3 linked regions of the Saccharomyces cerevisiae S288C genome follow. The protein of the gene in region 2 interacts with the protein of the main gene of each other region in a biochemical or structural test. Each region holds a gene or a part of one and is shown on either strand. Other genes may lie near its edges.

Evidence for each region.
Region 1: of the proteins of TEF1 (region 2) and NNT1, one has a biochemical effect on the other in vitro, tested with the Saccharomyces cerevisiae proteins (one study listed by BioGRID).
Region 3: of the proteins of TEF1 (region 2) and EFM4, one has a biochemical effect on the other in vitro, tested with the Saccharomyces cerevisiae proteins (one study listed by BioGRID).

Annotation. Positions count from the first base shown.
Region 1 is NC_001144.5:705,441-708,679, reverse strand, and holds NNT1 (S-adenosylmethionine-dependent methyltransferase), read right to left. Parts: upstream 1,321-3,239; coding exon 535-1,320; downstream 1-534. Other genes in the region: CTS1 (chitinase), read left to right, coding at 1-232; YLR285C-A (uncharacterized protein), read left to right, coding at 342-512; ECI1 (dodecenoyl-CoA isomerase), read left to right, coding at 1,640-2,482; PUT7 (Put7p), read right to left, coding at 2,550-3,239.
Region 2 is NC_001148.4:698,612-702,620, reverse strand, and holds TEF1 (translation elongation factor EF-1 alpha), read right to left. Parts: upstream 2,028-4,009; coding exon 651-2,027; downstream 1-650. Other genes in the region: GRS2 (putative glycine--tRNA ligase), read left to right, coding at 1-507; MRL1 (Mrl1p), read right to left, coding at 2,607-3,752. UniProt on the Saccharomyces cerevisiae protein: GTP-binding component of the eukaryotic elongation factor 1 complex (eEF1). In its active GTP-bound form, binds to and delivers aminoacyl-tRNA to the A-site of ribosomes during protein biosynthesis.
Region 3 is NC_001141.2:240,119-243,365, forward strand, and holds EFM4 (Efm4p), read left to right. Parts: upstream 1-1,908; coding exon 1,909-2,598; downstream 2,599-3,247. Other genes in the region: ribonucleotide-diphosphate reductase subunit RNR3, read right to left, coding at 1-590; FIS1 (Fis1p), read right to left, coding at 1,190-1,657; YRB2 (Yrb2p), read right to left, coding at 2,643-3,247. UniProt on the Saccharomyces cerevisiae protein: S-adenosyl-L-methionine-dependent protein-lysine N-methyltransferase that mono- and dimethylates elongation factor 1-alpha (TEF1 and TEF2) at 'Lys-316'. May play a role in intracellular transport.

The sequences.
Region 1 (3,239 bases), on a different chromosome or scaffold from region 2:
TACATTGGCTAAAGAATTGAATGCTCAATATGCGGCTGGTAAATTGAACGGTAAATCTACCTGTACTGAAGGTGAAATTGCATGCTCTGCTGATGGGAAGTTCGCCGTTTGTGATCATAGCGCTTGGGTTTACATGGAATGTGCTTCTGGAACCACATGTTATGCTTATGACTCCGGCGACTCAGTCTATACCCAATGTAATTTCTCTTATTTGGAAAGCAATTACTTTTAAAGTTATTAGAGATTGATTCATAGAGTCCGAATATTTTTTTTTGCAATATTCTTTATTTTTCACCTCATCTCACCGCCTCTCTTTTATTTCGTCAAGGTACCCTGCCTTCATGTTTTTACGTTTTTATAATCGACTACTTTATATCTATAACGAATTATTTAATTTTCTTCGATTTACTGTGTTTCTACCATTTTGCGAATTCGTGCCCCATCATGACTTATTTTATTTAATTGTTACATATCAAAGGACACTGGTTTACAAACATAAAAATGATTGTTGAGAATGCCAATTCCGCCCACTTACTACTTTTCATGTGTTAAATAGTACGCATAAACACGAGATCTGACTTCGATTGTTTCCTCGTCTTCGTCAAACATCGGTTTCCAATTAACCATTTCAATTAGCTGAGGAACCAAATGGAACTCGTTCTTAGCCAATTCGAAGAATTCTAAATCCTTCTCCAACAATTTTGGTCTATGCGGTGAAAATACTACCAACGCCTGACCTTTCTCAGCTAATAAATCCTTTGTTGTTTGAAGTAATTTGTGATGTTCCGTATGATTGAAGACTAAATCACTTAAAATGATTAAGTCAAACTTTCCATTATTGTTACCTATTTTTTCGATATGTGCCAACAATGGAGAATAATCGTTTCCCCAAATATAACCCTCCGTACTGACATTATTAAAATCTTCAGGAACGTTAGACTTTATATTATAATCGATGTTCTGCATTAAATCAGGATCTGGATAATCAGTTGAAACAACCATTTGAGCCCCATTCAAAGCACAAATAACGGAAGGTAAAGCAGCAGCAGCACCCAATTCTAAAACAGTCTTCCCCTTTATTAATTCTGGATGAGAATCCAAGTGATTTGCGGTGTATATTCCTGCATTCCACAAGAGATGACCCCAAAGTGGTGACGTTCCAACGAGACGGAGTTTGATGTCTTTAACATCTGATTTGGACTCTTTTGTGATGTGTGACCTTTGATATTCTGCAAAATGAGGTTTTGGTGGAGGAGGAAGAAAATCCTCTGGCTCCTCAAATAAACCTGCTGCCTCTCCCAATGATTCTATATCTGACATACGTTTACACGCCTTATTTATTGCGATAATGCTCGAAGTATTTCGTCATCTGCAACTGTTCTTTTTCCTGATTTTAGATTTTAACTTCTCGTCATTTTGAAAAATAAAATAAATGCGGCACGAAGGAAAGAATCTGAAATTGGCGACGGGCATAAGAAATATTATTCCGAAAGGCTGTAGCAGTGACCGTTTCTCTTTTACCCCAAGAGCGGTTAATAAAAGTGAAGCACTATATATAAGAACTGAAAGATGAACATATGGATAGATAATTGGAGTGTATGGCACAAATTGCTCGCACAGTAAAGGAAGGAAGAACAATATGTCGCAAGAAATTAGGCAAAATGAGAAAATCAGTTATCGTATTGAAGGACCATTCTTCATTATTCACTTAATGAACCCTGACAATTTGAATGCACTAGAAGGTGAAGACTATATTTATTTAGGAGAGTTACTAGAACTAGCGGACAGAAATCGTGATGTATATTTTACAATTATACAAAGCAGTGGTAGATTTTTTTCCAGTGGTGCTGATTTCAAGGGTATTGCAAAAGCCCAAGGGGATGATACCAATAAATATCCTTCGGAAACAAGCAAGTGGGTGTCAAATTTTGTCGCTAGAAATGTTTATGTCACTGATGCCTTCATCAAGCATTCCAAAGTTTTAATTTGCTGTTTGAATGGACCAGCAATAGGGTTGAGCGCGGCACTGGTAGCGTTATGTGACATTGTGTACAGTATAAATGACAAGGTTTATTTGCTATACCCCTTTGCTAACTTAGGACTAATTACCGAAGGTGGTACAACGGTCTCTTTGCCATTGAAGTTTGGCACAAATACGACGTATGAATGCCTCATGTTCAACAAACCATTCAAGTACGATATAATGTGCGAGAACGGATTTATAAGCAAGAATTTTAACATGCCATCTTCAAACGCTGAAGCGTTCAATGCAAAGGTCTTAGAAGAATTGAGGGAGAAAGTGAAAGGGCTATACCTGCCCAGTTGCTTAGGGATGAAAAAATTGCTGAAATCGAACCACATCGATGCATTCAATAAGGCTAACTCAGTGGAAGTAAATGAATCTCTCAAGTATTGGGTAGATGGAGAGCCCTTAAAAAGATTTAGGCAGCTGGGCTCGAAACAAAGGAAGCATCGTTTATGACGTCCGCTTTCTCAGTGAAACAAAACGCACACACAATATACTTATGTACAGACAATATGTATGCTAATTAATCTATATCATGTTGATCTTGAGGGAAGGTAGTATCAATGTCTTCCTTTGGTGCTAAAATTTCAGGTTCCTCAGGTTCCTGTAAACCTGGGCGTTCCTTCTTAGATGCGCTTACACCGATCATAATCGAACAAACAAGGACTAATATTACCAAAAGACCGCTTCTGGTTGTCTGCCATCTTAAATTTTCGATATGTGACCTGATATCCCCCAGTATCTTGGTTTGAATCTTGTTAGAACAGTCGTTCAATTTCAGGTTTAATTGTCGATACAAAAGGGTGTTTTCTAATTTTTGATTGTTAAATTCTAATTTAGCGTCCTTTTGCAAAAGATCTATTATGATTTCATTCAGTTCATCATGGATTGAGTTAAGTTCTCTCTTGAGTTTTAATAATTGCAAGTGGTGCTCATTTAGTTGCGTGTCTCTAGAGTTTTGAATTGCGAATTTCAATTCTGTTTCTAGCGAGCTGAACAAATGTGATTGTTTATTCAGCTCCATATCCCTTAAGAACAAATCATTGTAACAGGAATAAAACTGATCATTTAGTAGTTGCAACAATAGAGCTATGATAATTTTACATTGTTCATCGGAAAAATTGCCTCTTTCACGAAGCATTTGATAAAACTTTATAGTATCCAATTGATTTTGTGAAGTAGTAGGTTTCAATCCATTGCCCTGAGTAATAAA
Region 2 (4,009 bases):
AAGACAACTTTGCAACATATACGAGAGTACATTCCTAATGTCATTGAGCCCTCGTTCGGTTTAGGTCGTATCATATACTGCATCTTCGACCATTGTTTCCAAGTTCGAGTGGATAGTGAGTCAAGAGGCTTCTTCTCTTTTCCATTACAGATAGCGCCGATCAAAGTATTTGTTACGACAATATCGAATAACGATGGCTTCCCCGCTATACTTAAGAGGATCTCGCAGGCTTTACGTAAAAGAGAGATATACTTTAAAATTGACGATTCCAATACTTCAATTGGTAAAAAATACGCCCGTAACGATGAATTGGGAACACCATTTGGTATCACCATAGATTTCGAAACTATAAAAGACCAAACGGTGACGTTAAGAGAAAGAAATTCTATGAGGCAAGTAAGAGGCACTATTACTGATGTGATTTCGACCATTGACAAAATGCTTCACAACCCTGATGAATCGGACTGGGATAAATCAACATTTGGACTGTCGCCTGTTAAGATATAACTGAAAAAAGAGGGGAATTTTTAGATACTGAAATGATATTTTAGAATAACCAGACTATATATAAGGATAAATTACAAAAAATTAACTAATAGATAAGATTTAAATATAAAAGATATGCAACTAGAAAAGTCTTATCAATCTCCTTATTTCTTAGCAGCCTTTTGAGCAGCCTTGGTAACCTTAGCGGCCTTTTCAGTCTTGTCAACAGACTTGATAACACCGACAGCGACAGTTTGTCTCATGTCTCTGACAGCGAATCTACCTAATGGTGGGTATTCACTGAAAGCTTCAACACACATTGGCTTAGATGGAACGAACTTGACCAAAGCAGCGTCACCGGACTTCAAGAACTTTGGATGGTCTTCCAACTTCTTACCAGATCTTCTGTCGTTCTTTTCCAACAATTCGTCGAATCTACAAGCAATGTGAGCAGTGTGACAATCCAAAACTGGAGAGTAACCAGCAGAGATTTGACCTGGATGGTTCAAAACAATGACGGTAGCGTTGAAAGAAGCGCAACCCTTTGGTGGATCGTTCTTAGCGTCACCACAGACGTTACCTCTTCTGATTTCCTTAACGGAAACGTTCTTGACGTTGAAACCAACGTTGTCACCTGGAACACCTTGTTCCAATTGTTCGTGATGCATTTCAACGGACTTGACTTCAGTGGTAACACCAGCTGGGGCAAAAGTAACAACCATACCTGGCTTGATGACACCGGTTTCAACTCTACCGACTGGCACAGTACCAATACCACCAATCTTGTAAACATCTTGCAATGGCAATCTCAATGGCTTGTCAGTTGGTCTAGATGGTTGTTCAATGGCGTCAATGGCTTCCAACAAAGTCTTACCCTTGACGACACCGGCCTTGGTTTCCTTTTCCCAACCCTTGTACCATGGAGCGTTGGTGGTAGCTTCAATCATGTTGTCACCGTTCCAACCAGAGATTGGGACGAATGGAACAGTCTTTGGGTTGTAACCAACCTTCTTGATAAAGTTGGAGGTTTCCTTGACAATTTCTTGGAATCTGGATTCGTCCCATTTGACGGAGTCCATCTTGTTGACAGCAACAATCAATTGTCTAACACCCAAGGTGAAAGCCAACAAAGCGTGTTCTCTGGTTTGACCATCCTTAGAGATACCGGCTTCGAATTCACCGACACCACCAGCAATAATCAAGATAGCACAGTCAGCTTGAGAAGTACCAGTAATCATGTTCTTGATGAAATCTCTGTGACCTGGAGCATCAATAACGGTAACTTGGTACTTTGGAGTTTCGAACTTCCACAAAGCAATATCGATAGTGATACCTCTTTCTCTTTCAGCCTTTAACTTGTCCAAAACCCAAGCGTACTTGAAAGAACCCTTACCTAATTCAGCGGCTTCCTTTTCGAACTTTTCGATGGTTCTCTTGTCAATACCACCACACTTGTAAATCAAATGACCGGTAGTGGTAGACTTACCAGAATCGACATGACCGATAACGACAACGTTAATGTGAGACTTCTCTTTACCCATTTTGTAATTAAAACTTAGATTAGATTGCTATGCTTTCTTTCTAATGAGCAAGAAGTAAAAAAAGTTGTAATAGAACAAGAAAAATGAAACTGAAACTTGAGAAATTGAAGACCGTTTATTAACTTAAATATCAATGGGAGGTCATCGAAAGAGAAAAAAATCAAAAAAAAAAATTTTCAAGAAAAAGAAACGTGATAAAAATTTTTATTGCCTTTTTCGACGAAGAAAAAGAAACGAGGCGGTCTCTTTTTTCTTTTCCAAACCTTTAGTACGGGTAATTAACGACACCCTAGAGGAAGAAAGAGGGGAAATTTAGTATGCTGTGCTTGGGTGTTTTGAAGTGGTACGGCGATGCGCGGAGTCCGAGAAAATCTGGAAGAGTAAAAAAGGAGTAGAAACATTTTGAAGCTATGGTGTGTGGGGGATCACTTGTGGGGGATTGGGTGTGATGTAAGGATTCGCGGTCCTCGAAAATTAAAAGTCCAACGCGCCTGTTGCTTCCTATGTGATATGTATTATATGTAATATGCATAAATATATCTACTGCATTGTATTTTGAACGTACAAAGTATGCATTGTTTATACGCTATTATCAGCCAAAGTTGGGTGGTCGCTTTCTGTTGTATGACTATTGATGTCTAGGCTGTCAATAATTTCGTTTTGAGCCTCCATGTCTCTGAAGAACTCCCTGTTGGCAAGGCTGGACGAAGAGGCAGATGGGGATGACCGTAGTCTTATGCCCCCTTGACGGCTGTTCCTGCCTCTGACTAAAGACCTCATTAAAGATTTCGTGAACCTTCTTGTCGTCTTAATTATCCCGTTGAAAAATTTACTCCAGCGAGACCCGTCCTCTATGAGGTCCCAGTGTGGTTGCTCATTTAAAGATGGCGATATGTCGTGTAACTCGTCGTCGTTTTTCAAATGCCTATTTAGTTTAGCATAGATCCATCTTCTCCCCGCAAATTCGACTAAAAAGAATATAGCGAAGATACCGATGAAGATACCCAAAACGTTAACTTCATTCTTTTTGTTTGAGGTGGGGCACGCATGAATGCTGCGGACTTCGAAGAAATACGAGCAATTGTGTAGGTTTCCAATGTATGATATCTGGGCCTTTGATTGAATTTCTTTATCGCAGACAAAATTCAATAAAGTTGCCTTCTTGTCCTTCCCGTTCGGGCACATAGAGCCGTTTTCGTATTTGAGAGTTAATTTCTTGGCAGTAGAGCCGCCGACTAACGCAGGCCTTGTACTGAAGTCTCCAATCGATACTAAATTATTTTCGTTCAACTGGTCTACGTAAAAAGCGCCCGTTAGATTGGACAGTTGTTGCGACTCAGCTTCTCCGACAGGACTAGAGCAGATGCCTAACGTGAAGTTTGTATCGTAGCCCCAACCTCTCACTGACCACTTCGTCTTGGAGGATTCATGCTTGTTATTGCCAGAAATCTGTTTTTGGCCCTCCCTTAATTTGTTGGGAGTTGAAGATAGCTGTGATAGATCTATGTATGATCCGGTGACTGGGTTGGTTACCGCACAAAATAGATCTTCATCGTTTTCGCTTTTGGGTTTATCCGGATTTGCTAACGTTCTTTTTTGCTTGTGAGAAGCCCTATGTTCATTGGCTTCATGGGACAGTCCTGGACCATTGTATACATGCAAAAGTATTGGTATGGTAATGATTAGGACACATGATAGATATATTAGAGATGATCGTTTCAACATATTTTCCAGTGTGCGATCCTACAGTATGTTTTATGTTCTATAAAATAAAGCCCTTTTTTGAGAAGTAGTATGCTTAGTAAGAGTCTCCTGTAGTTTTGCGTTCTTATTATTGAAATTGAAATACTTGGCATTTTCTTCAAAACTTAACCCTTCTTGTTTCGGATACCTCTTGTACCTGCACCCGAAAGGGAAACGCGGCCAAATACAGCCGCAAAGTGACAGTAATGTGAATAAGTATAAGAAAGGATTAGTGAGCG
Region 3 (3,247 bases), on a different chromosome or scaffold from region 2:
TATCTTAACGACATCAAATTATAAGTCTTCAGCACAGATTCGATATCGCTACCATGGATACCTAGCGCCACACGCATTACCAAATGCTGAGGACGTTCTGCCACTTCACCGTTCAGTCTTAGCAAGTACGAACGCTCCAGTGTCTTGAATCCGAAATACGTATACTGGAAATCCCTATCGTACACGATGGCCGAGTTCAAAGTATCTTTGTTTTCCATGACAATGTTGTAAATTTCGTCCGAAATCATAGGAGCATGCTTTCCAGTAGCTGGGTTAATCCAGTCGTGTAAATCCTCAATAACTTTGGAGAATTGCTTTGTGGTTTGCTTATGTAAGTTAGAGATGGCGATTCTAGCGGCTAGAGTGGCATAATCAGGGTGCACAGTGGTCATGTATGCACATGTTTCAGCTGCAAGATTGTCCAGCTCAACGGTAGTAACACCGGAGTACACACCAGAAATAATACGTTGGGTTACCTTAACAGCATCAATACGGTTTGGGTCTAAACCGTATGACAAACGGGTGATACGGGAGGTAATTTTATCGAATTGAACGGGCTCTTTGCGGCCGTCTCTTTTAATAACGTACATTTGTGTGGGAGTATTTGATTTATTGCTGCTGCTATTCTTGCTTGTCATATTTATTTCAACTTGGATATGAGATGAGAGAAAGGCAAGGAAGAAGGCAAAAGAAGGCAAAATAGCAGTGCGTTTATATACGTTTTGCAGCAGAACACGAAACAATATAAAGAACGCTGACACGAAAAACGAAACGCGTCAGCATCTCACAATACAGTATTACGATTTAACAATAGACTATTGTTTTTTTCCCATCTTGTCGTTTGGTCCTCGCCATGGCAACCGGGTTTTTGCCCCTTTGAGCAGCGCCTAGGTGTCGTTGCTGCGACAACCACGAAAAAAAAAAAAAAAAAAAAACAAAAGAACAACGGCACGCAATGTTGCTGTGACAACCGTAGGCAGATAACTTGGCTTTTTTTACTACTTTAGGAAAATTAGCAGCCAAGAACGAGGGCTTGCTCTGCTACCTAGTTCAAACTGAAACAAGCCTTCACTTTCTTTTCTTTTCTTTTTTTTTTTATCTAACAACTGAAGATTAAATGATAAATGTTTACGCGTGCGTGCGATTCATTCTTATGTATGTACGTATGTGCTGATTTTTTATGTGCTTGTTACCTTCTCTTGTTTCTTAAGAAGAAACTAGCCACGGCCACAGCGCCGGCTAGTACGCCTCCAGCGACGACAACACCCTTGAGTGTTTCCTTCTGGATCTTATCCTCTACCATACTCTTCAAAGCGCCCACCTGCTTGTTATTACGCTCATGCTCAAATAAAGTGTCTACATATCTCTTCGCCATAGAGTATTCACCGAGTTTGTAGCAACCTATGGTCAGATAATATAGGCATTCTCGTCTACGGGACTCGGCCTCTTTGTAAATGTCTGTGAGGATTTTCACACCAAGCCTTTCGTCATTCACGTCAGTGGATTTGATCAGCCCCCATGCGTAGTTAAACCTTGACTGTATGGTAGCGGTGGGCCCCCCCTCGGAGACGACTTGCTGGCGCAGAATCTCCAGCTGCTGCGGATAGAGTGGTTCGTATGCGTCCTTAAGAGTTGGCCAAAAATCTACTTTGGTCATACTTATGTTGTATGGCTGTGCTCTGATCTGTGCTTCTATGTGCCGTTTTTACGCAAGGTATATGATAACTTCTGTGCAGAATAGTGGCAATGGCAGCTTTGCTTTGAAAGGGGTCCAGCCTAGCCCGCTTGCGGTGTTCCGGCATAAATGCGCAAAAAGATTGGTTCATGAAAAGAAGTGAAAAAAAATCGATGAGCTCAGCTCTTAAGAACGGTATTATGGAACGAACTCAACCCGAAAAGGTAGTACAGATGCAGGGCACGGCAGATTTGAGCACTTCGAAACTTGGTACGAAAAAATACTGGGATGAACTGTATGCCCTGGAGCTGGAGAATTTCAGGCGGAATCCGCAGGATACCGGGGACTGTTGGTTTAGCGATAGCGATGCTGAACAAAAGATGATTGATTTTCTGGTAGATAACATTGGTGCGTACAGAATTTCTGAGAATGCTTCTGTTGTAGACCTCGGTACAGGTAATGGACACATGTTATTTGAACTGCATCAAACGGAATTCCAAGGGAAACTGGTCGGGATAGACTATTCTGAGGAAAGCGTCAAACTCGCTAGTAATATAGCCGAGGCCACCGGTGTTGACAATTTCATCAGTTTCCAGCAAGCAGACATCTTTAGTGGTGACTGGAAGCCGGGAAAGTATGACATTGTGTTGGATAAAGGGACCCTAGATGCCATTTCATTGAGTGGCATGAAGATCAACGGTAAACTTGATGTAGTCGATGTATACGCCGGAGTAGTGGAAAGGATTTTGAAAAAAGACGGTATTTTCTTGATCACTTCTTGTAATTTCACACAAGATGAACTAGTAAAGATCATAGAGACTGATAATTTGAAAATGTGGAAAACAATAAAATACCCTGTTTTCCAATTTGGCGGGGTCCAGGGTGCGACCATATGTAGTGTAGCATTTGTTAAACAAAACTGATTTGTTTTTATCTTTGATTTATTTTTAACGTTATTTCTCTTTACTTATTTAGGAACGGATTTAACTATAATGTTATACAATTCATCCGTGGTTTCCTTCTTACCAGTCTTTATGGCGTACTGTGCAGGATCACCGTTATCATCTACTGCTAGTAATCTTATGAATTTTTCGCTTTGCAAAGAACCTGTAAATCCTTTTTGCACAGTGAACCCCTTGACCAGTTGGATGTTTAAAATGACTTTTAAGATACCACGAGACCTCATAACAATACGCGTCTTCTCGACGTCGTCCTTACTTTTATTGATTTTGATGATACCAACACCTCTTTCCTTCCAGCCTTCTTTTATGTTGGAAAGTTGGTACAGCTTCGCATTGACTTGATATATGCACTCCTCAGACTCTTCACCAGACTTGACTTCCTGTTTCTGCAATTTGAGGGGTTTTGGTTTGTCTTTTGTATCTTCTGAGGCATTCGCTAGTTGTTCAGATCCACTATGGACTTTATCTTTGTCAACATCAGTAGCTTTCTTTTCACTTTCAGAGTTATTTTCTGTTTTGTTTTTCAGTATGTTGAAGCCGCTGCCAAATGATAAACCTGAACCAAATGCAAATGGCTTCTTTGTTTTGCTGTCAGAGGCTGGTAAACTTT